3 linked regions of the Elephas maximus indicus genome follow. The protein of the gene in region 1 interacts with the protein of each later gene in a biochemical or structural test. Links are inferred from orthologs where the notes say so. Each region holds a gene or a part of one and is shown on either strand. Other genes may lie near its edges.

What was found.
Region 2: the proteins of CBX5 (region 1) and TRIM28 form a complex in vitro, tested with the Homo sapiens proteins (6 studies listed by BioGRID, with this or other methods). The link is inferred for Elephas maximus indicus from reciprocal best matches to the Homo sapiens genes CBX5 and TRIM28.
Region 3: the proteins of CBX5 (region 1) and SMARCA4 form a complex in vitro, tested with the Homo sapiens proteins (2 studies listed by BioGRID). The link is inferred for Elephas maximus indicus from reciprocal best matches to the Homo sapiens genes CBX5 and SMARCA4.

Annotation. Positions count from the first base shown.
Region 1 is NC_064822.1:109,774,546-109,782,065, forward strand, and holds the start of CBX5 (chromobox protein homolog 5), read right to left. Parts: upstream 3,014-7,520; 5' UTR 2,878-3,013; intron 1-2,877. Other genes in the region: HNRNPA1 (heterogeneous nuclear ribonucleoprotein A1), read left to right, coding at 3,680-3,694, 4,268-4,384, 4,668-4,814, 4,936-5,146, 5,232-5,324, 5,406-5,498, 5,833-5,907, 6,134-6,286 and 2 more. UniProt on the Homo sapiens protein: Component of heterochromatin that recognizes and binds histone H3 tails methylated at 'Lys-9' (H3K9me), leading to epigenetic repression. In contrast, it is excluded from chromatin when 'Tyr-41' of histone H3 is phosphorylated (H3Y41ph).
Region 2 is NC_064829.1:87,269,581-87,277,390, forward strand, and holds the start of TRIM28 (transcription intermediary factor 1-beta), read right to left. Parts: upstream 3,013-7,810; 5' UTR 2,924-3,012; coding exon 2,593-2,923; intron 2,341-2,592; coding exon 2,228-2,340; intron 1,987-2,227; coding exon 1,854-1,986; intron 96-1,853; coding exon 1-95. UniProt on the Homo sapiens protein: Nuclear corepressor for KRAB domain-containing zinc finger proteins (KRAB-ZFPs).
Region 3 is NC_064821.1:28,999,663-29,007,235, reverse strand, and holds the start of SMARCA4 (transcription activator BRG1), read right to left. Parts: upstream 3,013-7,573; 5' UTR 2,860-3,012; intron 1-2,859. UniProt on the Homo sapiens protein: ATPase involved in transcriptional activation and repression of select genes by chromatin remodeling (alteration of DNA-nucleosome topology).

The DNA.
Region 1 (7,520 bases):
GTGAAAACTTAAGCCACTCCCTAAACACTTCATCTGCTCCCTTCTTTAATTTTGAGTGGGTAAAATAAAATATTTTGAAGAGATAATCAACTCCAGCATCTCTCATTTTAGAACAACAGTTTTCAACACTGGTGGAGATTTTGCCCCCTCCCCATCACATCTGGCAAGGTCTGGAGAAATTTTGGTGGTCAGAACTGGGGGTGGGGAGGAGCATAGGTGACTTGCTACTGGCATCTAGTGGATAGAAGCCAAAGATGCTGCTGAACATTCTACAATACACAGGTCGGAAAAAAAACACACAACAACAAACCTGTTGGCATTGAGTCATTATGACCCAATAGGACAGACTAGAATTGCCCACACGGTTTCCAAGGCTGTAACCTTTGAAGAAACAGACTGCCATGAAGCGGCTGGTGGGTTTGAACCGCCAACCTCTTGGTTGGCAGCTGAGCTCGTAACCACTGCGTTACCAGGGCACGCGCAGGACAGCCCCCCCACAATAAAGAATCATCCAGATCAAAATGTCAATAGTGCTAAGGTTGAGAAACCCTGTTTTAGGTCAAGATTGTACTCTTTCTAAACCTAAATAAATTGGGGACAAACACCCTAAACTCAGCTCACTTCAGTTCTTACAAGCTAAGCAACTGCATCGTACCATATCTACAGATAGAATTATAACTTTGTTGTTTTGCAAGTGCCAGAGAATGTGAAATCTCTGTTCATTATGAGTTCAAGGAAAATAATTTTTCATTTTGGGGGAGCAGTAAGTAGGAAAAGTATCTAAAGTGTACCTCATATGCAGTCAAGTTTATCACCATACACTACCTAGTATTTTTCTCTCGACTTAAATAAATCAGTGAATAATAAAGCAGTAAAGAGTCTGATACAGCCAATATGTAATGAAAATTTATATATTTTTCCAAAACATCCTGGAATAAACATTGCTTCATAGATGGGTCCTGTTTAAAAAAAAAAAAAAAAACTAGAAGAAAATATAATGAATAGGCAATGAGGTATCCAGGTGATGTATGGGTCTTCCTGTCCCCAACACCTAAATATAACCCTCCTTAAGCAGCTTCCTTCTTCTCCATATTCAGACATCGTCAAAGGAATAACAAAGAGAGACTAAAAATCTTTAAAAGTGTGGGAAGAAAAAAAAGGATATAGGGACAAAAATTCCTCAGAGACTAAGATATAGGCATTAACCAAACCCCTTGCTGTCAAGTCGATTCTGACTCATAACAATCCTGTGATCCTATTAAAAAAAAAAAAAAAAAACTAGTGTGATCCTATAGAACAGAGTAAAACCACCCCATAGAGTTTCCAAGGAGTGCCTAGTGGATTTGAACTGCTGACTTTTTGGTTAGCAGCTGTAGCTTCTAACCACTACGCCAGCAGGGTTTCCAAAATATAGGCATCGGAGACATAGAAAAAGCTTGTAAAGTGCTTAGCACATACTAAGTCCTCAAAAAAAGTTACCTATTATTTTCACACCAAGAATCACTTCAGATAAAGGTCTGCCTTGAGCATTATGCCCTGTTAAGAATCACCTATATGGGATCAAAGTGACAACAGCAACTTAAAAGATTAGATAAAAACCTTAGGATGCAGTGAATTTATGTTGAGAGAGGAACAACTCAAAGAAGGGGCGTGAGAACAAGTTGCACAACTAGAGGAATGTAACCGATGTCACTAAATTGTACATGCAGAAACTGTGGAATCGGGGTATGTTTTGCTATACATATTCACAACAATAAAATATATTAAAAAAAACTAAAATCAGAGCGCTTACCTCTAAAAACAAAAAGACTCACCTTAGTTCTTAAAGGAAAAACAAGACTCTTTAGAGGTGTAAGAAGGAAAGAAGTGGTGAGAAGTACCTGAATTACAATTGGAAACACAAAAAGAGCTACCTTTATTTTTCATTTAATCTTAATCACAATTATCCCTCCAAAGATTTAAATATTACAATTAAGATCTAAGTGCCCACTGACCAACCCAACCCACCTCCATCCCACTATATCCCTGGAAGTAACACTTTGCTGTGTACCTTTCCACAACTTTTTCTGTGTATTTACAGACAAATCTATTTGTCCATAGAAACGTGCATAATTTAGATTTTCCTCTGATGCCTGTCCAGGACAGCGTACAGAAGTTTCCCGTTCGTTTTAACAGTCATCTAAAGAAGCTAGTTGCCCAAATCAAAATTTCTCTCCTGCTTCCCACAAAACCTAGTGTGATGGATGGTGGGATGTACCGATGTGGGAAAAAATGCCAAATTCAAGGCTTTCCTACCAGGGAGGTGTATGGGATGGAGGCTCAAGGCGCCGTTACAGAAGTCATTGTGGATAAAATATCCACTCCCACACACCGTCACAGGCTTTGAATTCCCCTCCTTACAACCCCAAATGTAAGACTCCTTCTCTTGGAGCGCTGATTGGACGATTTGCCTACTGGCTTCAGATTTGGTCCATCCATTTACCGCCCGACTCCCGCATTCCCAACTGGGGTCCGATCCCCGCTTCTCGGATGGAGCCCAACCTATCGCGCGCTTCGTGCTCATTGGTTCAGTAAGCCGCTACTCAGGAGGGGAAAACCCGCCCCCCACATTCCGAAGGCCCAAGGACCTATCAGTCGGTGGCTGAAGGCAGACCCAATTGGCCTATAACCTCGCCAGTCACACGCTTGGGTTGTACAGCTCCGACGAAGCCACATAGATTAAAACATCCCGCCCCCTACTCTTCTATTGGTTGGGCCAAATCGCCGCTCCCCCTCCGCTATCCCCCACCTCGCGGTCCATTCATTTCACACAATAACGGGCCCAGCTGAAATCCATTTAAGACCTCGTACGGGTAGGCAAGATTGTCTGGCACTTACCAGCGATCGAGAGTGATCACTCAGGCTAACGTCTTTCCTGTTCCTCTGTGGCGAGGCCGGACCACAAGCCACCGCTGCCGCCGCCTTCTGCGCAACGCCAGCCGCCCGCCAAAACGGATCTTTCCCTGCGCCTGCGCGACCAATCCTGAGACCGGACCCTTTCTCCGCCCATTACGCCTGCGCATCTCCCGCCAGTACGCAGGCGCCGTAGGTTCACCGCCTCTCCCACCGCCATTTCACATGTTCCAAGTGGCAGCTGGAACTTCTTAGTGCGCCTGCGTAAACTCACCGTATTTTTTTTTTTTTTTAACATGCGCTGTGTAGGTAGTCTTCACCCCTCCCACCCGAAAGATTTTGTAACAGTCTAAATTCTTATCTAACGCACAAAAGTAAGCGTGCTTTGAAAAGGAATTGAATGTAATATTTGAAGAGTGGAGCGTCCAAAAGTTTAAATACGCTTAAGTACCTTCAAATATGAATGATAGGTCCGCTAGCCAATCAGACTAGTTAAGACATCACGACTCAGTAACCAATGAACTACAAGGGGTGGACACTGCGTAGACCGCCCAAACGGATGACGTTTCATAGCAGTGCGGCACCATAGACCAATAGTAGGAGGAAGCTATTTCAAATGTCCAATCAGAACTAAGAAGGGGCGGTGTCTACCAATGCCGACAGCGAGGAGGCGGGATAAAAAAGAGAGGCCGTAGGTAGGCTGGCAGATACGTGCGGTAGGTTACTCCTTTCTGCTTGTGGACGCCGCCGAGGGAACATCGTTAAGTAACCTCTTCTTACTACCGTCATGTCTAAGTCAGAGGTAAGCTACCCTTATCAACTTCATTTTGTTCCTCTTCCCTTCGTGAGTTCCGTAGATTTCGGCTTCGTTTCATCGCTCGAATTAGCCCATGCGGCAGTTCCTTCGGCCGCTGCCAGGGCTTACCCCTCCCAAAGTTGGAGTCGCCATTTTGTCCTCGTCGTCGCCATGAGGCCGCCATCCGGCAACCATTCGTTATCAGGCCAGGCTCTGGTTAAGTCCGGCAGAACTCTACGTCACGATTGATCTGTTTTTTCCCTTGATTGCATGGGCAAGTTTGTTTGTTTGTTTGTTTTTTTAAAGTTTCTAGTATTAGGTTGGCGACATACTCCTCCCGCCAAGTCCTATTGTTGCGCGTGCGTTTTAAAGCGCGTAGGGGCGCATGCGCTTGAGCTTGAGCTCTCGCGGATATTGCAGACTCAACACAGCGCCACCCCTGATAGGGAGAAGCACGTGGCTTGGAGCAGCCAGAAGGAACAATAAATGCTATGTACGTTGTTGCCTAGTTTTATGTGTCTGAACGGGAAACTGAGTATCGTTTTATAGCCTAACTTAACACCTGTTTTCCACCATTAGTCTCCTAAGGAGCCCGAACAGCTGCGGAAACTCTTCATCGGAGGTTTGAGCTTTGAAACAACGGATGAGAGTTTGAGGAGCCATTTTGAGCAATGGGGGACGCTCACGGACTGTGTGGTAAGACAAAAGGGTAGTAGTAAGACCGCCTTGGCTTGTTATTTCCGTAGTTCGTGTTTGAATGTAAAGATTGTTGATAGGATTGTAGTTTGGAAGGTATGATTTTGTTAATGGTTTGATTCTTCAGGTGTTCTTATAGGGTCTCGACTCCCCACAAGCAGTACTGAGAACTTAGAGGGCTTTGTAGTTACCCTACTATAAAGTTTTCCGTTTTCTTGCTTAACGTAGGAGTGATGATAGCTTCTGGGATCTTAGCATGTGCTAAGTGAATTAAATTTTTCAGGTAATGAGAGATCCAAACACCAAGCGCTCCAGAGGCTTTGGGTTTGTTACTTATTCTACTGTGGAGGAGGTGGATGCAGCCATGAATGCAAGGCCACACAAAGTAGACGGAAGAGTTGTGGAACCAAAGAGGGCTGTCTCACGAGAAGTAAGTTTTCTCTTTTAGCTATTTGGAAATGTGCCACTAAGTGGGTTTTAGTTTTTAATTTCATGTTCTCAATTTGGGGGTAGCTTTTGCTAAATAATTAAGTGGTGTTTTTCCTATTAAGGACTCTCAAAGACCAGGTGCCCACTTAACTGTGAAAAAGATCTTTGTTGGTGGCATTAAAGAAGACACTGAAGAACATCATCTAAGAGATTATTTTGAGCAGTATGGGAAAATTGAAGTGATTGAAATCATGACGGACCGAGGCAGTGGCAAGAAGAGGGGCTTTGCTTTTGTTACTTTCGATGACCATGACTCCGTAGATAAGATTGTCAGTAAGTATTAGATGACTGGAGCTTACTAAGGATTCTAAAATTCACCTGGTATTTGGAACCTTAAGGTTTTGTTTTCATTTTTTAGTTCAGAAATACCATACTGTGAATGGACACAACTGTGAAGTAAGGAAAGCCCTGTCAAAGCAAGAGATGGCCAGTGCTTCATCCAGCCAAAGAGGTGTGTTTGTTGCTCAGTTAAACCTTAAGGGTAATAGTGAGTAATCCAGTTTGTATGGTCTGACATGATTAATTTCTTAAGGTCGAAGTGGTTCTGGAAACTTTGGTGGCGGCCGTGGAGGTGGTTTTGGTGGGAATGACAACTTTGGTCGTGGAGGAAACTTCAGTGGGCGTGGTATGTGTGATTGTAGTTTCCAGTAAACTTGTAGTTTAGTTACCCCAGGTTAACACCCATTTTGCAATCTATGATAATATGTAACTAAAGAGCTACTGCTATCAAGTTCAGTACTATTCTTCTAACGCCTATGGGTCAGTAGAGATGCCCCGTGGGGTTTCCGAGACTAAATGTTTCACAAAAGCAGGCTGGTGGATTCCAACTGCTGCTGCAAAGTGCTTAACCACTAGACCCGTTTTATTTTTAAAAGTTCTTCTGGGTAATGAGTGAAATCACTGATTGGCGATTTGTTTTACAAAACAAAGGCTGCCGTTTAAAATTTAACTTTTTTCAGGTGGCTTTGGTGGCAGCCGTGGTGGTGGTGGATATGGAGGCAGTGGGGACGGTTATAACGGATTTGGTAATGACGGTGAGTATGGTTTTTTGGTTCATTTGTGGGTTTTTTATATGTATAAGGAACATGCAGGCAGTCTTCCGTTATCCTTAGAGTAGATTAGTAGAGACTAAAATTAGTGCATGGGAAGCTCAATTCTCACCATAATATGCATGCTGTGAGCAGGCTTTAGCCATTGCGCTTGCACAGATACTGATCATTGAATACTTTTGTCTTATTGAGAAGAATTGTATTCTTGTAGGTGGTTATGGAGGAGGAGGCGGTCCTGGTTACTCTGGAGGAAGCAGAGGCTATGGAAGTGGTGGACAGGGTTATGGAAACCAGGGCAGTGGCTATGGCGGGAGTGGCAGCTATAACAACGGAGGAGGCGGAGGCGGCTTTGGCGGTGGTAGTGGTAGGTATCCAGTGATCCAAGTCTTTGGTGTGATAGCTTAGACTAGCCTTAGTTTGCCCATTATTTTGGGGCTTGATGCTCTTAGAAGCATTATGTGTTACAGTGCATGGTATTCAAAAGTAAATGGACTTGCTGTGCTACCTCCTAGCTTCAAGCTGGGGCCGCCTCACTCCCAAAAAGATGAGTAAGTGGATAGTGGTGTCTTCATTTGGGGTTAGATTAGCCTCCGTTGCAGGATTTAGCATCTTAACTATTCTGTTGGGATCTTAGGCACTTAGTTGATATATCCAAGAAACTTGTCTGCAGTGGTCCTAGGTGAAAAGAAAAAAAAAAGAAAGCCTTCAAGGCTAGAAACAAAGTTCTTAAAATTTGTGCTTTAAAACTTTTGACACTCAATCTTACGGCGATTTGGGTTGATAATCAAGCTGCTGGATTGTTCGACATAATGCTTTGCCTAGACAAGATGGAAATGGAAGAATTACCAATTACTGGAGCCACCTTTTGGGTGGAGCCACCCTTTGGGAGGAAGGCAAGCAAATGTCAAAACAGCCTTTTTCACTTGTAAACACTAACAGAACTGGGAACTGTGATCTTCCTCCAAGTAACAGACAAAGGCCCTCTTTCCCTTCCTAGGAAGCAATTTTGGAGGTGGCGGAAGCTACAATGATTTTGGCAGTTACAACAATCAGTCTTCAAATTTTGGACCCATGAAGGGTGGAAACTTTGGAGGCAGAAGCTCTGGCCCTTATGGTGGTGGAGGTCAATACTTTGCCAAACCACGAAACCAAGGTATTGTGTATGTGTAATATTGGCTAATTGTAGCTATAGTTAGTACACTGGTAAAGGGAGCACTTCCCTTGCAAAGTTAGGCAAGGGCCATTTTTAAATGTTCTCTTGAACTTGTGATTTACCGTATGTATCATTGTCTCAAATGAGAGAAAATTAGAGCTTAAATTTCATTTTTAGGTGGCTATGGCGGTTCAAGCAGCAGCAGTAGCTATGGCAGTGGCAGGAGGTTTTAATGACTGCCAGGTAAGTAAGCACCTTTTCGTGTTTTGACTTAATTTTTTTTATAATTGCAAATGAACCCAGTAACCCTAATGTAGCTGAGCATTGCAACATAGTTAATATAATTGCAGTAAAATTGTGGATGGATATTAAGTTAATATTCAGAATAGCAAAATTTGTGGGAAACAACTTGCTATTGGATTGTAGTCTTGAGTCTTAATATGTT
Region 2 (7,810 bases), on another chromosome or scaffold:
GAGGGTGTCACAGCTCTCGCAAAACAGCACAAGGGGCTCGTGCTTGTGTACGCTGCAGTACACAGTGCGCTCGCCATCCCGCGTCTTAGCCGGCCCTGTGGAGTGAACACAGTGAGGCAGACACAGGGAACCCTGGCCTGGGCCACCCCCACCTCCGGAGCCACGCAGAGCAGCCTCTGGCCAGGTTTGGAGTCTGGGCACATGGCAGTGTGGGGGCAGGGACTGCAGCTCTGCAACCTGATCTTGCTTCCAGCACCCTCTAACCCAACCTGACCAGCAAAATCTTTATAAGCCCTCCCACTTGTAGGGCTGACAACACAGAATAAACAGAGGTAGACCCAATAACATGACTGAAAAATTGGCAGTTCAAACCCACCCAGCAACTCCATAGGAATAAAACCTGGTGATCTGCTCCTATAAAGATTACATCCTACAAAAACCCATGAGGCAGTTCTACCCCATCACAAATAATCACTGTAAGAAGAAACCAACTGGACGACACTAACAAACAACACGGCTTCTACCAGAAGACACCTCCCTGTGCCATTTCCTCCGTGGATACGTCCTACCTAGGCAGACAGACTCCAAAAACTCCTCCAACCCACCTACTAACAATGTCATCCACAACAAATATCCTTTCACCACAGAATGGGATTCTGACCACTGAGCTATCACCCCAAGTGCAGGATTAAAAGTGAACTGGGGGCCTAAAGAAGCCTGAGCTCATTCATGAACAATTTCCTTAGAAACCATGCTCTCTAAGATCACAAGCAACCTACCAGCCATGGGCCAAAGGAACCCTAACAGCTGCTTACCTGAATCCAGGAAAAACAAGATGTTGGACTGGGACCCCGCAGACAGCATCAGGCCATTCTGGGAGAAATTCCCAGTGCTCAGAGTAAAGCCACCCAAGGAACAAAGATGAACCCAGCCCCCTCCCCTGAGAGCTGCTTATACATGCTCCCTTTCCTTTTTTCCAATGCCAATCACAACCTGGCTGCACCTGTCAAATCTAAAGCACAAGGCATAGGCCACCTGGTCCTAGACCCCTCACTGTACCAACATCTCCAACCAGACCCAGGTCCCGCAGCAAAGCCCTGTCCATCCCTCAGCCACCTCCATTCTCATCTTCCCACAGATGCTGTCCGCTAAGCTATGACGAATCACAAGATACCTCCTGAAAACCCATCTCATGAGGAATTTGGGGATAAAAACCAGCTACAATAGATTCCCGAGCCCCTTTTCACATAGGAACCAGTGCACAAAAAAATCTGTAAATATCTAGTTGAACCCTGGGCAGAACGCAGCTGAAGTGCCTCTGGGACACACCGTCACTGACAGTTCATGGGCGCTCACAGCTCAACAATGTGCCCTGGCCCCAAAGACTCACTTTCCACATAAAGCTTCGAGCCAGGGTGCCAGGGAACCCCAAGACAGTGACCCTTCACATCCCTCATTAAACACCACACCTTTCCCCAACTATGCAAGCTGTTCCCTCCACCTGGAAGGCCCTATTCCGACAGCACACTTCCTCCCTGCCTGGAGGCCTCTATGATGAGCATCACCCGGACCACCAACTCCCTCATGCCATGAAGCTCACTGACGTCCACTGTGATCCTCCAAGATCTTTTCCCTACCACCAGGACCCCTGGAACTTGCACACCAGAGCCCCACCTTCCTGCTTTCAAGCAGTCTTAGCCCTGGGACCCTTCAGAAACTAGCCCCTAAAGAAACACGTAGGGAATCAGCCATGAGATGTGACCAGCAGCTGAAGATTTAAAACACTTGCCTCCTCTGCACGTCCCTCTCTAGAGACCCAGGAATGTTCCTGCCACCCCATCTGCCCCATATACCAGTGGATCGCACAGTGTGGTCCTTGGTGTACTTCACCCGCTGGTGTGCCTCCACACATGTCTCACAAAGCGGTTCGGAGCATTCCACGCAGTAGCTGGTGGCGGGTGCATTATCCTCACAGCTGGTGCAGCACTGCTAGGCAAAGACAGAATCAGAAGGAGTGGGACCACCTAATGATTCCCTGTCTAACAAAGCACTACCTGAGACAACGTGCAACCCTTTCTCAAGCCAAGGCAGCCTGCCCAGAGCAAAAAGCGGGGTGGAGAATAACACCTGGTGTTGCTGTTATGTTCCTCCTGGCCTGGTGACCCCTCCTCTCGGGGCCTACCCAAAGCCACAGGCCTCCTGGAAGTGACGAGAACAAGACACACACCTGATTAGCATCCTGGGAATCGGTGGCAGCCTTGCTACCACTGTCGCGCATAAAATAGTTTTCCACGATATCTTTGTAGAAGCACTGCTGCTTGCACACGGGACAATCCACCACTGCAAAAGGTGAGAAAAACACCGTGTCTGGGCGGTCCCATTCTCACAATAGACTCTGAAACCGGGTACCCACACCCAACCAGGAAGCCCATCCTCTACCTCGGATAATCCCACATCGCTACGCAGCCCCCGTGCAAGCCCCCATATCAGCGTCCAGACCCCATTCCCACCCCAGGCAGGCTTCCACCCCCGACCCCACCTCTCCCCTCCAGCAGCGCTTCCGGCGCCCGGGGCCGTCCTCCGCGAACTCACCCGCGCTGTCCCCCGCCGCGCCGCCGTCTCCTGAGCTATTGGACGCGGCGGGTGCGGCAGGCCCGAGGCAGGCGTTGCAGGCCGAGTGCAGGCAGGGGAGCAGGCGCGGCTCCCGCTCGGGCCGCAGGCGCTCTCGACACAGGCCGCAATGCTCCAGCAGCTCCAGCGCCTCGCCACCGCCCGAACCGGGCGACGACGCCGAGGCCGAAGCCGAGCCTGCAGCCGATGAGGCGGCGGACCGCTTCTCGCCACCCGCCGAGCCCTCGCCTGGGCCGGGGCTACCCGACGCAGCCGAGGCCGCCGCCGCCGCCGCCGCTGCCGAGGCCGCCATTCACACACCGCCGGGGGCGCCCAGGGGGGAGGAGGGGCACGGGGCCTGCCGCGCAGGCGCAGACAGGCTCGCCGCCAACGGCCGCGCCGCTGCTTGGGCCGCCGCCGCCGCCGCGAGGCCGAGCGCTGCTGCGCACCGACTGGGCCGCTGCCCGCCGCGCGCGGGGCGCTGCCGAGGCCCGGCCGGCCGCTGCCTGCTCGCTCCCCGCCGGCCCGCCGCGTGCACAGCCGCCGACACCGCCCTCGAGCCCAGCTCCACGCACACGACCGCTCGCCCGCGCGCCTGCTCGCAGAAAGAGCCGCGGCTGGGGGGCGGGACAGAAATAACTGGCGCCGACGCCTCCGCGCACGCGCGCTGGGCACCTTGCGGCCCGGGGGCGGGGTCTGAGCCTGCCGCCGACTGCGAGGTTGCTAGTACGCAAGCGCCCCTCTCACCCCCCACCAACCATCCCCTCGGCGCGACTCGAGCGGCATGGGCGGGGCGCAAGACGTCACCGCCGCAGTTTCGGCGGCAGGCGGGGCGAAAGCACCGATTCTTGCGCGTGCTACCCGCCCCTCCAGACCCACCTCCAGACCGCACCGAGGCTACCCGCTGTACTGCGCACGTGCGTGGGCAGCCCGGGACCCCCCCCCCCCCATTTTACCCCACCTTTCGGCCGGCGAGAGATATCGCCAAGCCGCTGCGTCACCAATAGCTCCTGGAAGGGCCCGGGCCTGTGGGCGGGGCTCCATCGGAGGAGGAGGCAGCTCCTAAAGGGGCGAGCCACTTCGGGGCTTTAACCTTTCTGCTATAAATATGAGAAACACAGAAAGCTACTTAAATTAAATGTAGAACTCAAGGGGTTACGGAGCAGCGAGTCCGTGAAATCCCACCCGGCCCTCCACTGGCGCTCCTTCCCCATCTCCTAGCCAGCCTCTCTCCTGACTTTGATGCTTTGCCATTTGTCCTCTAGGGGGACGGACATCCCGACCCTCAACAGTGGGGGAAATCTTGTCTGAAAAGGGAAGCTGGGCCTGTGTGTGCGGGGTATCCTGTCTGAAGGGGGAGCAGAATCTGGGTGGGGAGAATCCTGTCTGAGAGGGGAAAGAGTCTCTGTGAGGGGAGAATCTTGACAGTAGATACAGAGACTCTGAGTGTGTGTGGGTGGGAGGGTAATCCTCTGAGGAGGGAATAGGGTCTGTATGTGTAATTCTGTCTGAGGGTGGAAACGGGTGTGTGTGGTGGGAAATCCTGTCGGGGCAGGGAGGGGGGAGAAAGGCTGTCTGAGAATGGAAGCAGGGTTTGTCTGGGTGGAATTCTGCCTGAGGGAGAGGCAGATCCTGTGGGAAGGGGAATCCTAAAATGCTAAGGAGGGAGTGCTAAACGGAGCGCACGGCCTTGGGGGCGTAGGGGAAATCCTGTCTGAAGAGAGTGGCGCAAGAAACACGAGGGATGGACATGGCGCTAGGAGTGGGCCCTGGCCCCCTGCGCAGTGACCGCAGCGCGCATGACAAGGCCTGCCTCTGTACCCTCGGGTCCTGAGGCCTCGCGTCTGAAATGCGACGGCAGGTTGGGGGAGGGAGGCTTCCTGGAGGATGGGGTAGGCCAGCAGGGTCAGCGAGCCCAGGCCGGAGCCCCAGAGTGCGCACACTTTAAGGCGGGGGCCGGACAGTCTTGGGGCGGGGTGGGGGGCGCCATCTACCCTCCATTCCCCAAGCCGTGCGGGCGCACGTGGCGGTGGCGGAGGGGCGACTGGCCGCTGGCCCAAGGTTGCCTTTTGTTCCTCTCCGGGGCTCGGGGTCCGCAGAGCTTTGTTCCCGCCCCTGCCTTTGTTCCAGCCCCAGCGCCCGGCCCCCCAAATTCGGGCCCCGCCCTGCTCCCGCCTCTGCGCTGCGTCATCGCCCGCCACGCCCCCTCCGCAGGCTGCCCGGCTCCACCCGGTGCGGTGAAGGCCACGCCCCACTGACCGGCCCCTTCTCACCTCCTCCCAGCCACCTCTGATAATTCGGAACGAATGTGAATGGCTGGCGGCGCACAGGGTGAGGTGGGGGATCCTTTAGATATATTCACTGAGCGTGTTGGACCGCAAAATCACAGGGGTGAAGGGGTGACCCATGCCCTAACCTGAGCCCTGGGGCAAACACTGAGGAAAGAACCAAACCCACTGCCATGGAGTAGATTCCAACTCAGAGTGACCCCATAGAATTTCCAAAGCTGTAAATATTTACAGAAGCTAACTACCACATCTTTCTCCGACGAAGCCTCTGGTGGTTTCCAACGGACCTTTTGGTTAGCAGTCAATCGACTTAACCACTGCACCACCAGACACTGGGGAGGGAAGGGCGATCAAAATACCAGTTGGCCTGGAGTCAGTTCCAACTCATGGAAACTCATGTGTGTTAGGGTAGAACTGTGCTCCATAGGATTTTCAATGGATGGTTTCTCAGAAGTAATTAGCCAGACCTTTCTTCTGAGGCACCTCTGGGTGGACTTGAATCTCTAACCTTTCTGTTAGCAACTGAGCATGTTAACCACATTAACCATTTGCACCACCTAGAGACTCTTCAAAAAGATTGATGGTAGAGGATGTGGGAATGGAGCTTATGAAAGAAGAAATTCTTATACTCTATTAGAGTAAGAGACAATAAGTTTTACTGAGGAATAAAGCAACTCAAGTTGGGCAGCTCAAGGTGAAAGTGCAAGGTGCTCCTTTGAGCAGAACAAAAGATGGAGTTTTTATACTTAAAGTTCAACATGGCTAAAACCGTAAATATCTTGCAGAACAATTTTTTCCACATAGCAGTTAATTTTCTAACATACATTTTCTAAGAACGGTCTGTACAAGCAATTTTCTAGAACAGTTTTGTCACATGCTTCCTGGATGTAAAAATGGTGTGGGGGTGGTGTTTGACCTCCTCTAACTTCAGGAGGGGGAAGGAGAATCAAGATCAACAGCCCAAGGCTGTTTCCTTTGAGGAGGAAGCCTTCATGCTTCCACCCCCCAACCTTTTTACCAGTTCTGATACCAACCATCTCTCCCACAGCACCCTCTACTCCTCTGCTAGGTCCGATAACTCCTTGCAACAGCCACACAGAACTCACAGCCAATACTCATGAGTAAGCGGTGTATTAGGGAAGTAACAGGTTACAATTCAGGATCAGAAACAACTCACGATACAGTTCTTCCGTCAGGACAGCTTTTTTACCGCTGTACCTGCAGGCATGTCTATCTCTGGCCCTTGGCCTCTCTGCCCCATGGCCCCTCAGCCTGTGCTCTGCCCTGCTCGGGCAAGTGTTACAAAGCTATTTTAGCTCTGCCAGTAAGTGCCCAGAGGCACCCCATTCCACCAGCAAGCCTCCTGCCAGAAGGTGCTCAGCTTTCTCATTCACTGAGTTGGCACACACAGCAGTCTGTCTCCTGCTAGTCTCCTGCATCTGCTGCCTTTGCTGCCGCCATTTCTCTGCACTGCTCTCTCTGTCTCCTGGGTCTAAGAGGGTCTCACCACAGAGATCCTGGGTCCAAAGGATGTGCTCCACACCCATCTCTCCTTGGTGGTAGTCAAGTCCCTGCTCTGCTCAGGAATTGGCTCTCTTTTAAGCCTAACAGGATGGCAAAACTGACCAATCCCCTCATTAGGGTTCCATACATCTTCTTTGCATCATCCCATCCTAAGAGTGCCATGCACCTTATTTACATTATTAGCAAGCTACCCAATCCCCATAGTGGGCCACAAGCACCTCATTTGCATAGTCCCACTAGTCTATTGGTGCGAGTTACAAGACCATGGTGAGAAAAAAAAAAAAAAAAACCTGTTGCCATTAATTTGATTTTGACTCATAGCAAACCTATAGGACGGAGTAGAACTGCCCCATAGAGTTTCCAAGGAGCGCCTGGTGAATTCAAACTGCCCACCTTTTGGTCAACAGCTGTAGCACTTAACCACTATGCAACCAGGGTTTCCAAAAGGCCATATAAAACAACCCAGTGCACCACACTGGAACATTCTAGGTACATATCTTCTGAGAACGAACACCATGTCTCCTTCTGTCCCACATGTCATGGATTGAATTATGTCCCCCAATGATTCCCAGTATTCTGTGGTTGTCCTGTATTTCATGATTGTAATTTTATGTTAAAGAGGATTAGGGTGGGATTCTAACACCACCCTTACCCAAGTTACATCCCTGATCCAACGTAAGGGGAGTTTCCCTGGGATGTGGCCTGCACCGCCTTTTTTCTCTCAAGAAATAAAATGAAAAGGAAGCAAGCAGAGAGTGGGGGACCTCATAACCACCAAGAAAGCAGTGCAGGGAACAGAGCATGTCCTTCGGACCCGAGGTTCCTCCCTTTGGACCTGAGGTTCCTGCACTGAGATGGTCCCAGACCAAAGGAAAACTGATGCATCCCAAGGACCTTCCTCCAGAGCTGACAGAGAAAGAAAGCCTTCCCCTAGTGCTGGGGCCCTGAATTCCGACTTTAAGCCTACTAGACTGTGAGAGAATAAACTTTCCTTTGTTAAAGCCATCCGCTTGTGGTATTTCTGTTATAGCAGCACTAAAAAAAAAAAACAAACTAAAACACCATGTGTTGGCCAAGAGTAGTCCAGGGTAACCCTTCCTTGTAAGTTCAGTCTGAATACTTCTGTACTTTGAATATTTGCTAGCACAAGCTGAACGACCAGAACGAAAATAATGAGAATGTTCACACATTATGAAGTACTTGATCCAATGTCACTGAACAATTTGTGTAGAAATTGTTGAATGGGAACCTAAATAAAAAAAAAAAACTGTTGTATAAATCTTCTGCAGTGCAGTGAATTACTTAATATGGCCCTTCTAGCCATAATCCTTGTGATTCCCACACAATGATTGGGTGGGACTATGCAAATAAGGTGCTTGTAGCCCCAC
Region 3 (7,573 bases), on another chromosome or scaffold:
CCCCATTTCACTGTGGCACAGGGGAAAAGTGGCAAAGCCAGGACTCCAACCTGGGCAGTTGGCTTCAGAGCCCTTGGTGAAGAGATATCCCTGGACCTCAGCATCTTCAGTGGCAGAATTTTGTTCACCAGACATCCACTCAGCACACTTAGGCCCTTGCAGACTCCCCATATCAGATAAACTGCTAAGTACTGGGTAACACGGGAACCGCGGAAGTAATCTAGGCTTACCTCCTAACATTCTGAGGGTCCACAAGGAGTGGCAGAGGTATGCCTCTAATTTAGATGTTCACCTAAAGAAATCGTTACTGACAGGAAAAGTGTGGAGACCATTGCACTGCCCTATACCTGATGATGTATACCTGATGATGTCACTACCCTGATCAAAAATCTCCAAGAACCATCTCTCCTGAAGGGCTTGCAAACAAAATGATTTCAGGTGGCACGTGGAGGAACACTTAGGATTTTCATAATTATTGATTTAAAGGAAATGAGAGGGAAAATATATTACCAGCGGAGCCCTGGTGGCGCAGTGGTTAAGTGACATAGCTGCTAATGAAACGGTCGGCAATTCAAATCCACCAGCAGCTCCCTGGAAACTCAATGGGGCAGTTCTACTCTGTCCTACAGGGTAGCTATGGGTTGGAATTGACTTGGCAGCAAAGGGTTTGGTTTTTGTATATATAACCAGCACTTCAAACCTGGGGTTTCTGGGATATAGGATGGTTCTAGGTTCTATTTTTAGTGTTTTAAACACTTAATTTACCAAAAAAAAAAGTGAACAACATTAAGGCCAACAAATTCGAGTGCTACTGTATGTCAGGTGCTGCAGTGTTAAGGTGCTTCCCATGTTATCTCAGGCAATCCTCAAAGCACCCATTTGAGCTGGCCTCATCATCATACTTGTTTCACAAGTGGGGGGACCTATTGTTCAGTGCCTTACTCAAAACCAGCTAGGATTTCGAGGACTGGATGCAAATTCAGCAGGTCTGATTCCAGAACAAGCACTTCTCATCACCACCCCATACTGTCCACACATGGCATCCTACACCCCTATTCCAGGGGGTGCTGAGATTTGGGAAACACTGGCCTGGAAAGTCAAAAGACCAACAACAGCAGCTAACCCTTACCGCTTACAACCCACCCCCAGTCCTAAGCCAAGCACTTCACACACATATTCATTCAATTCCCCCAAAGACCCACTAGTTCACTTCAAAAATGTTCACGGGGGGGGCCTACTGTGTGCCAGGTCCAGGGTATACTGCACAGAACCAGGCAGACATGGCCCCTGTTCTGATGGGACTCGAGTAGGATGGACGTGTAACTACAAATTGGGATAACTGCTACAATGGAAAGGATCAACGTGATGTATCAGTGTGTAGCAGAAGGGAACAATGACCAGTCCGGGTGGTCAGGGAAGGTGTCCCTGAAGTGGCATCCCTGCCAGTCAAAACACAAGCCTGGACATCTTCCCTGATCTTGCATGAATGCCACCTCTTCCAATGCAAGCCTCCCTAATCTCTGGTTCCCCCAACTCCCCTGCACTTCCACTGTGTCCCCCTCACAGGGCACATGTGAATGACAGGCCACGGAGGGTTGATCCCTGCACACCCCATCCCACCCACTTTTGCTACATCTACTTATACCTGTTTCTCCTACAAAACTGGAGAGACTTCTTGAGGGCAGCCAAACCCAAAACATGGGGCACCCAGTAGAGATTCAACAAATATTTGTTGAGCAATGAAGAAGGAGATCAGACCATACAATAAGAATAGTGCTTCATACCTGCCAGGAACCATTTTACAGGCTTTCACCAGCCCCATCTGTGAAATTATCCCCATTTCACAAACAAGGAGCCTAAAAGGCCCAGAGAGGTTAAGCCCCTTGCCTAAGGTCACACAGCTAAATGACCAACAGCGCCAGGAATCAAACTTGAATCCAGTCTGTCAATTCAAACTGAAAGCTTGTTTCAAATTCCTGGGAAGCGCCTCTTAACACTTATATCCTTTCTACTCTCCCGAAAGATCACTCATAAAAAATTACAATTGGTATGTCTGAGATCAGCACGAAACACTTGCCTGAAAAGTCTACGTTTTAAATAACTGCCTTAATCTGGAAAATAAATTGGGAGAGTGGGCAAAGGATACAAAGCAAAAACAATGTTTCAACAGCAAATCTTTCCCTCCATCCTCTCCACCCCCCCCCCCCGCCCGCTTGCCGCCGACCTCTCCCCTCACTTCAGGGCAGTGTTTTGAAGTCACTACCTGCAAGAAATTGGGGGAGTTATTTACGTTTCCTTGAAAGTCTGGAATGACGTGCTATTTATAAAATTTTAGGTCGGTTTTCTGATTACCAAAAGGGCTGCTAACGCTCATGTCCAGGCGACAATGGGCACATGTGTGTTTTTTCATACTCAGCCCCAACCACAGCCTCGCCAAAAAGGCAACATTCAGGTCGGACCCGCTACAACGTAGCCAGAAAAGCCCCGACGCCTAGCTATTGTTGCAGCCTCCCCAGAGAACGCGACACCGGACGGACCCCCGGCCCGTCGAAGGGGAGGCGAGCTTTGTCCGACGACCCCGGCGAGAGCGCGCGCGGGGGGCGCGCGGCCTCCACGAGGCCCGGGCCCCCCTTCCCTGGGCCCGCCCGCCCGCGGATACTGTAGTCACCGCGGCCTCCCTACACTGTGGCCTTCCCCGCGCGCGCGGCGGCGGGCCCGGGCTTCTTGACCCTCGGGCGCCGCCGTACCCCGGCCCCGCTCCGGGCGCCGGCGGCCCCCTCCCCCCTCGGCGCCCCGGCTCCATTCAAACCGTCTTCCCAAGGCCCGCGCCGCATTCCCCTCGCAGCCCGCGTTCCTTACCCGAACTGCCGGCGGCGTTGCCTTCCCGGCGCCGCCCCCGCCCCTCCGCGCGGGGCCGGGGGCACAGTGGGCGTCTCGCCTCTCTTCACGAAACAAAGAAACAGCCGCCGCCGAGCGAAGGGAAGCCTTGAGCGCGCGCCCGCCTCGGCCGCCCCCCCACCGCCCGCGCCCCCGCTGCGCGCGCGTGCGCGCCGACTTCCCTCCCCCCACGGACGGCCTCTTGAGTTCCGCTGGCGCCCGGCCTCGTGCGCGCGCTCGCCGGCCCTTCCACCCCTCGCGCGCGTGCGCGCCCGCGCGAGAGCAAGGGGAGGTGGGCGGGACCCAGAAGGAGCACGCGCGCGCGACGCACCTCCCAGCTCGGTCCGGAATGGCCCTGCGCCTGCGCATAGGCATCTTCCTCCTCCGCACGACGCGCGTCCACACGCCGCTGAGCATGCGCGGAGTGGGTGTCACTGCGGCGGCAGGTTGGGGGATGGGGCAGGGTGGTCGCGGGGTGTGCGGGCAGGGGCTGGCCGAGGGACCCTGAGGTTCGGATACGAACACTCGGAGCCGTGCATGAGGGCGAGAGACAGCCCAACAGGGGCCGGGGCTGCGCAGAGTCGTCCGCGGGCCAGTGACAGGCCTGGGAACCGCTTTCGTCCCTGGCCCGGGGCGGCGGGGCCTGTTCTGCGAGGCCAGACGGGCTCGGCTGTGATCGCCTTCTCTGCAACACCCACCGAGTACCATTAATTAATTAGTTCAGCAGATATTTATAGAGCTGCTACTGCGTCCCAGGCGCTGGTGCTGTAGTACCGAACAGACCTTTGAAATCCCAGCCGGTGTGGAGCTGAGGGTCTAGTGTGGGGGGCGAGGCAGACAAGAAAAAGATAAGTAAAATATGTTGTAGGACGGAGACATGCAGTGTCGTGGAAACTTTAAATAGGGCAAGCTGGGAAGGTCTCGCTGCGAAGACGACTTCTCACTAAACGTGACAGCAGTGAGGGACAGAGCTTGTTCCTACCAAAGGGACTGGCAAGTGGGAAGGCCTTAGGACTCCAGGGCTCTTATCTGTATTTTTAAAATACTTTCAGCGCCACCTCATTCGGCCCCTAACCGGACAAGAGCTCACCAAGGTCAAGTCCCACAACCTGTAGTACTCGGCCTGGGCTGCTCCTCCCACTGCTTCGCCCAGGCCTGCTCTTCCTCATTTTTTAGGTTTCAGCTGACTTTCAGCACTTCAGACCTGCCTTCTTTTTGATCACTGCCTACTTTTCCCTTCCTTCATATTTCATGGATAGTCTCTTTTATCATCTGTCTTCTGCATCTCAATTTAAATGGCAAAGATGTAACCAGTTGTAGTCACTAGCGAATACCCAACATCTAGCTTGGTGCTCTCCTCCCCAACATAATAGAAGAAAAAAAAAAAAAAACCCTGTTGCCGTGGGGTAGATTCCGAGTCATAGCAACCCTATAAGACAGAGCAGAACTGACCCATAGGGCTTCCGATAGTGGATTCAAACCGTGGATCTTTTGGTTAGCAGCTGACCTATTAACACTGCGCCACCAGGGCCCCATACCTCGACATAATAGACACTTTAAAAATTGTATTGAAAGAATAATAGAGACTGTCTCGAGTGTATTTGTGCCAGGTGTCGTACCTACATCAGCCCAAGGTGAGTGACTTGCAGTTTCTAGCAGAAGGTGAGATCTCATGCTGGAGTCCAAAAGACCTGGATTTAAAACCTGACTCCAGTATTATTAGCTGGGTGATACCAGGCAAGTTCCCTTGTCCCATCTACATAACAATTTCTTCACCTGGAAAATGGGAACAATAATGGCATCCACCTCACAGGCTGCTTATAGCAAGTAATGTTGAGTAATGCACAGAAAATGGACAAGTAGGTCTGAACCTCAGCCTCTCTCATTCAAGTAGTATTTGTTAAGTTCCCTCAACATGTCAAGCACTGAGCTGGTCACAGGCCTACAGTGACTTACCAAGGGTTCCTACCCACGGAGCACACAGTCCACATGTTAGTCAACTGTCTCCCATGCTGGTTACTAATATGTGATAGAAAAGAAAAGTCCCCAGGATGCAACGAGATCATAACGGGGTCTTCCTGGATTGAGGAGTCACAGAAACCTCTCTGAGGAAATGGTATTGATGCCAAGAAGGATGAGCAAGAGCAGGGAGAAGGAGGGCACTAGGTAGAGGAACAGGACCCTGAAAAGAATAAGAGCATGGGAACAGAAAAAGACCTCTGTGGCTGGAAGAAATGGTGATGGGGGGCAAGGGGGCGTGGTCAGCAGCAGTCATACCAGGCAGAGCATTGAGGGCTGAGGTGAGGATTCTTAACTTTTTCGGTAGCACAGAGGGAACCAGTTGAATGGCTTTAATCAGGAGAATCCCGTGACTGACTGCTGGGCAGAGATTAGGCTGGAGGAAAAGGAGAGGCAGTGAGAGTCCATTAAGGCTATTGGAGTGGCCCAGGTTGAGAGGATGGCAGCTTAAACTAGAGTGAAGATGGTTGAGATGGAGAGGGGTGGAGGAAATTGGAGGCAGAATGGATAAACCTTGAACGACTGGACCTGATGGGTGAAGGAGAAGGGGGGCTAAGAGTGAGACTTGGGCTTTCTGTGTAGCTGGGACAATGGAGACCTAGAAACCCTGGAAGGGAAGGCTCTAGAATCCTGTTTTGGTTTAGGGACAAGATGCCTATAGAAAACAATTCTATAGACCAGTGATTCTGGGCTATACCTTGGAGTCCCTGGGGGAACTTTAAACAAAGCTGATGCCTTTAGCTCTTATATTTAGGTCTGTAATCCCTTGCAAGTTAATGTTTATGTATGGTATGAGGTAAGGCCAGAAGTTCAATGTTTTCCATAGAGGTAGCCAACCATTCTAACGCCTAGTGTTCCCTACTGTCCTTTTCCCCCATTAAATTACCTTGTTACTTTTGTCAAAAAAAAAAATCACTTGACCATTTAAGTATGGGTCTGTTTCTGGACTATTTATTGATCTATATGTCGACCCTTAAGCCCACACCACGCTGTCTTCAATAATAAGTCTTGAAATGAGGTAGGGTAAGTTTTCCAGCTTTGTTCTTTTTTAAAAAAAAAATATTTTGACAAAGTCCTTTGCATTTCTACCATTTAGAATTTTAGAATCGGCTTGTCAATATCTACCCAAAAACCTGATGAGATTTGTATTAAGATTGCATTGAATCTGCAGGCCAATTTAGAGAGAATTACAGTTTTAACAATATTACGTCTTCCGATCAATGAACATGGTCTATCTCTCCATTTACTTAGGGCTTCTGTAATTTCCCTTAAACTTGCTCTAGTCAAGTCTTTCCTGCTCCACTGAAGTAACTCTTGTCAATGTCACAGGGACCTTCCCATTGCTGAATCCAGTGGTTAATTCTCATCTTCGCCTTCCTTTACCTCTCAGCAACACTTGACCCGTTCCTTCTTCCTTGGAACAACTTCCCCACTTAGTTTCCAGAACACCACACTCTCCTGGTTTTCTTCCCACCTCATTGTCGGCTCCTTCTCAGTCTCCTGTGCAGCTTCCTCCTTGTCACACTAAACTCTTAATAGTAAACTGCCCAAGAATGCAGATCTTGGTCCTCTATCTACATTCACCCCCTTGGCTTCCAGGCATGTGACTTTACAAAACCACCTACATGCCGATGTCTTCCAAGTGTGTACCTCCTGCCTTGACCTTTCCCTTACACTTCATAAAGCTATCTCCCAGACACCACTGCTTGGATGTTTAATAGGTGTTAAAATTTAGGTTCCATCATGTCTCTCTTTTGCTCAGAACCCTCCAGTGGCTTTCTTCTTCCCTAGAGTGAAAGACGAAGTTAGTCCTCACAGTGACATACAGACCCTTTGCTCCCTCCCTGATAAACGATTCCATTTATATAACATTCTTGAAATGACAACATTTAAAAATTGAGGACAGGTTAGTGGTTGCCAAGAGGGAAGTGGGTGTGGTTATAAAGAGCATGTCGTGGATTGAATTGTGTCCCCCAAAATTATCTGTCAACCTGGCTAGGTCCTGATTCCCAGTATTGTACGATAATCTACCATCGTCATCTGATGTGATTTCCCTATGTTTCGTAAATCCTATCACTATGACGTAAAGAGATGGATTAGTGGCAGTTATACTGAAGAGATCTACAAGAGTAGATAGTGTCTTAGGCTAATCTGTTTTCAGATATAAAAGAGAGAAGCAAGTAGAGAGACACGGGGACCTCATACTACCAAGAAAGCAGCCAGGAGCAGAGCGTGTCCTTTGGACCTGAGATTCCTGTGCTGAAATGCTCCCAGACCAAGGGAACACTGATGCATCACAAGGACCTTCCTCCAGAGCTGACAGGGAAAGAAAGCCTTCCCCTGGAGCCAGCGCCCTGAATTTGGACTTACAGCCTACCGGAGTGTGAGAGAATAAATTTCTGTTTGTTAAAGCCACCCACTTCTGGTATTTCTGTTATAGCAGCACTTACTGATGAAGATCAAAGACCACAGATTTCAGTATGGATTACACCTCAACATAAAAGAAAACAGAAATCATCACAACTGGACCAATAAGCAACATCATGATAAACGGAGAAAAGATTGAGGTTGTCAAGGATTTCGTTTTACTTGGATCCACAGTCAACGCCCATGGAAGCAGCAGTCAAGAAATCAAAAGACACATTGCATTGGGCATATCAGCTTCAAGAGATCTCTT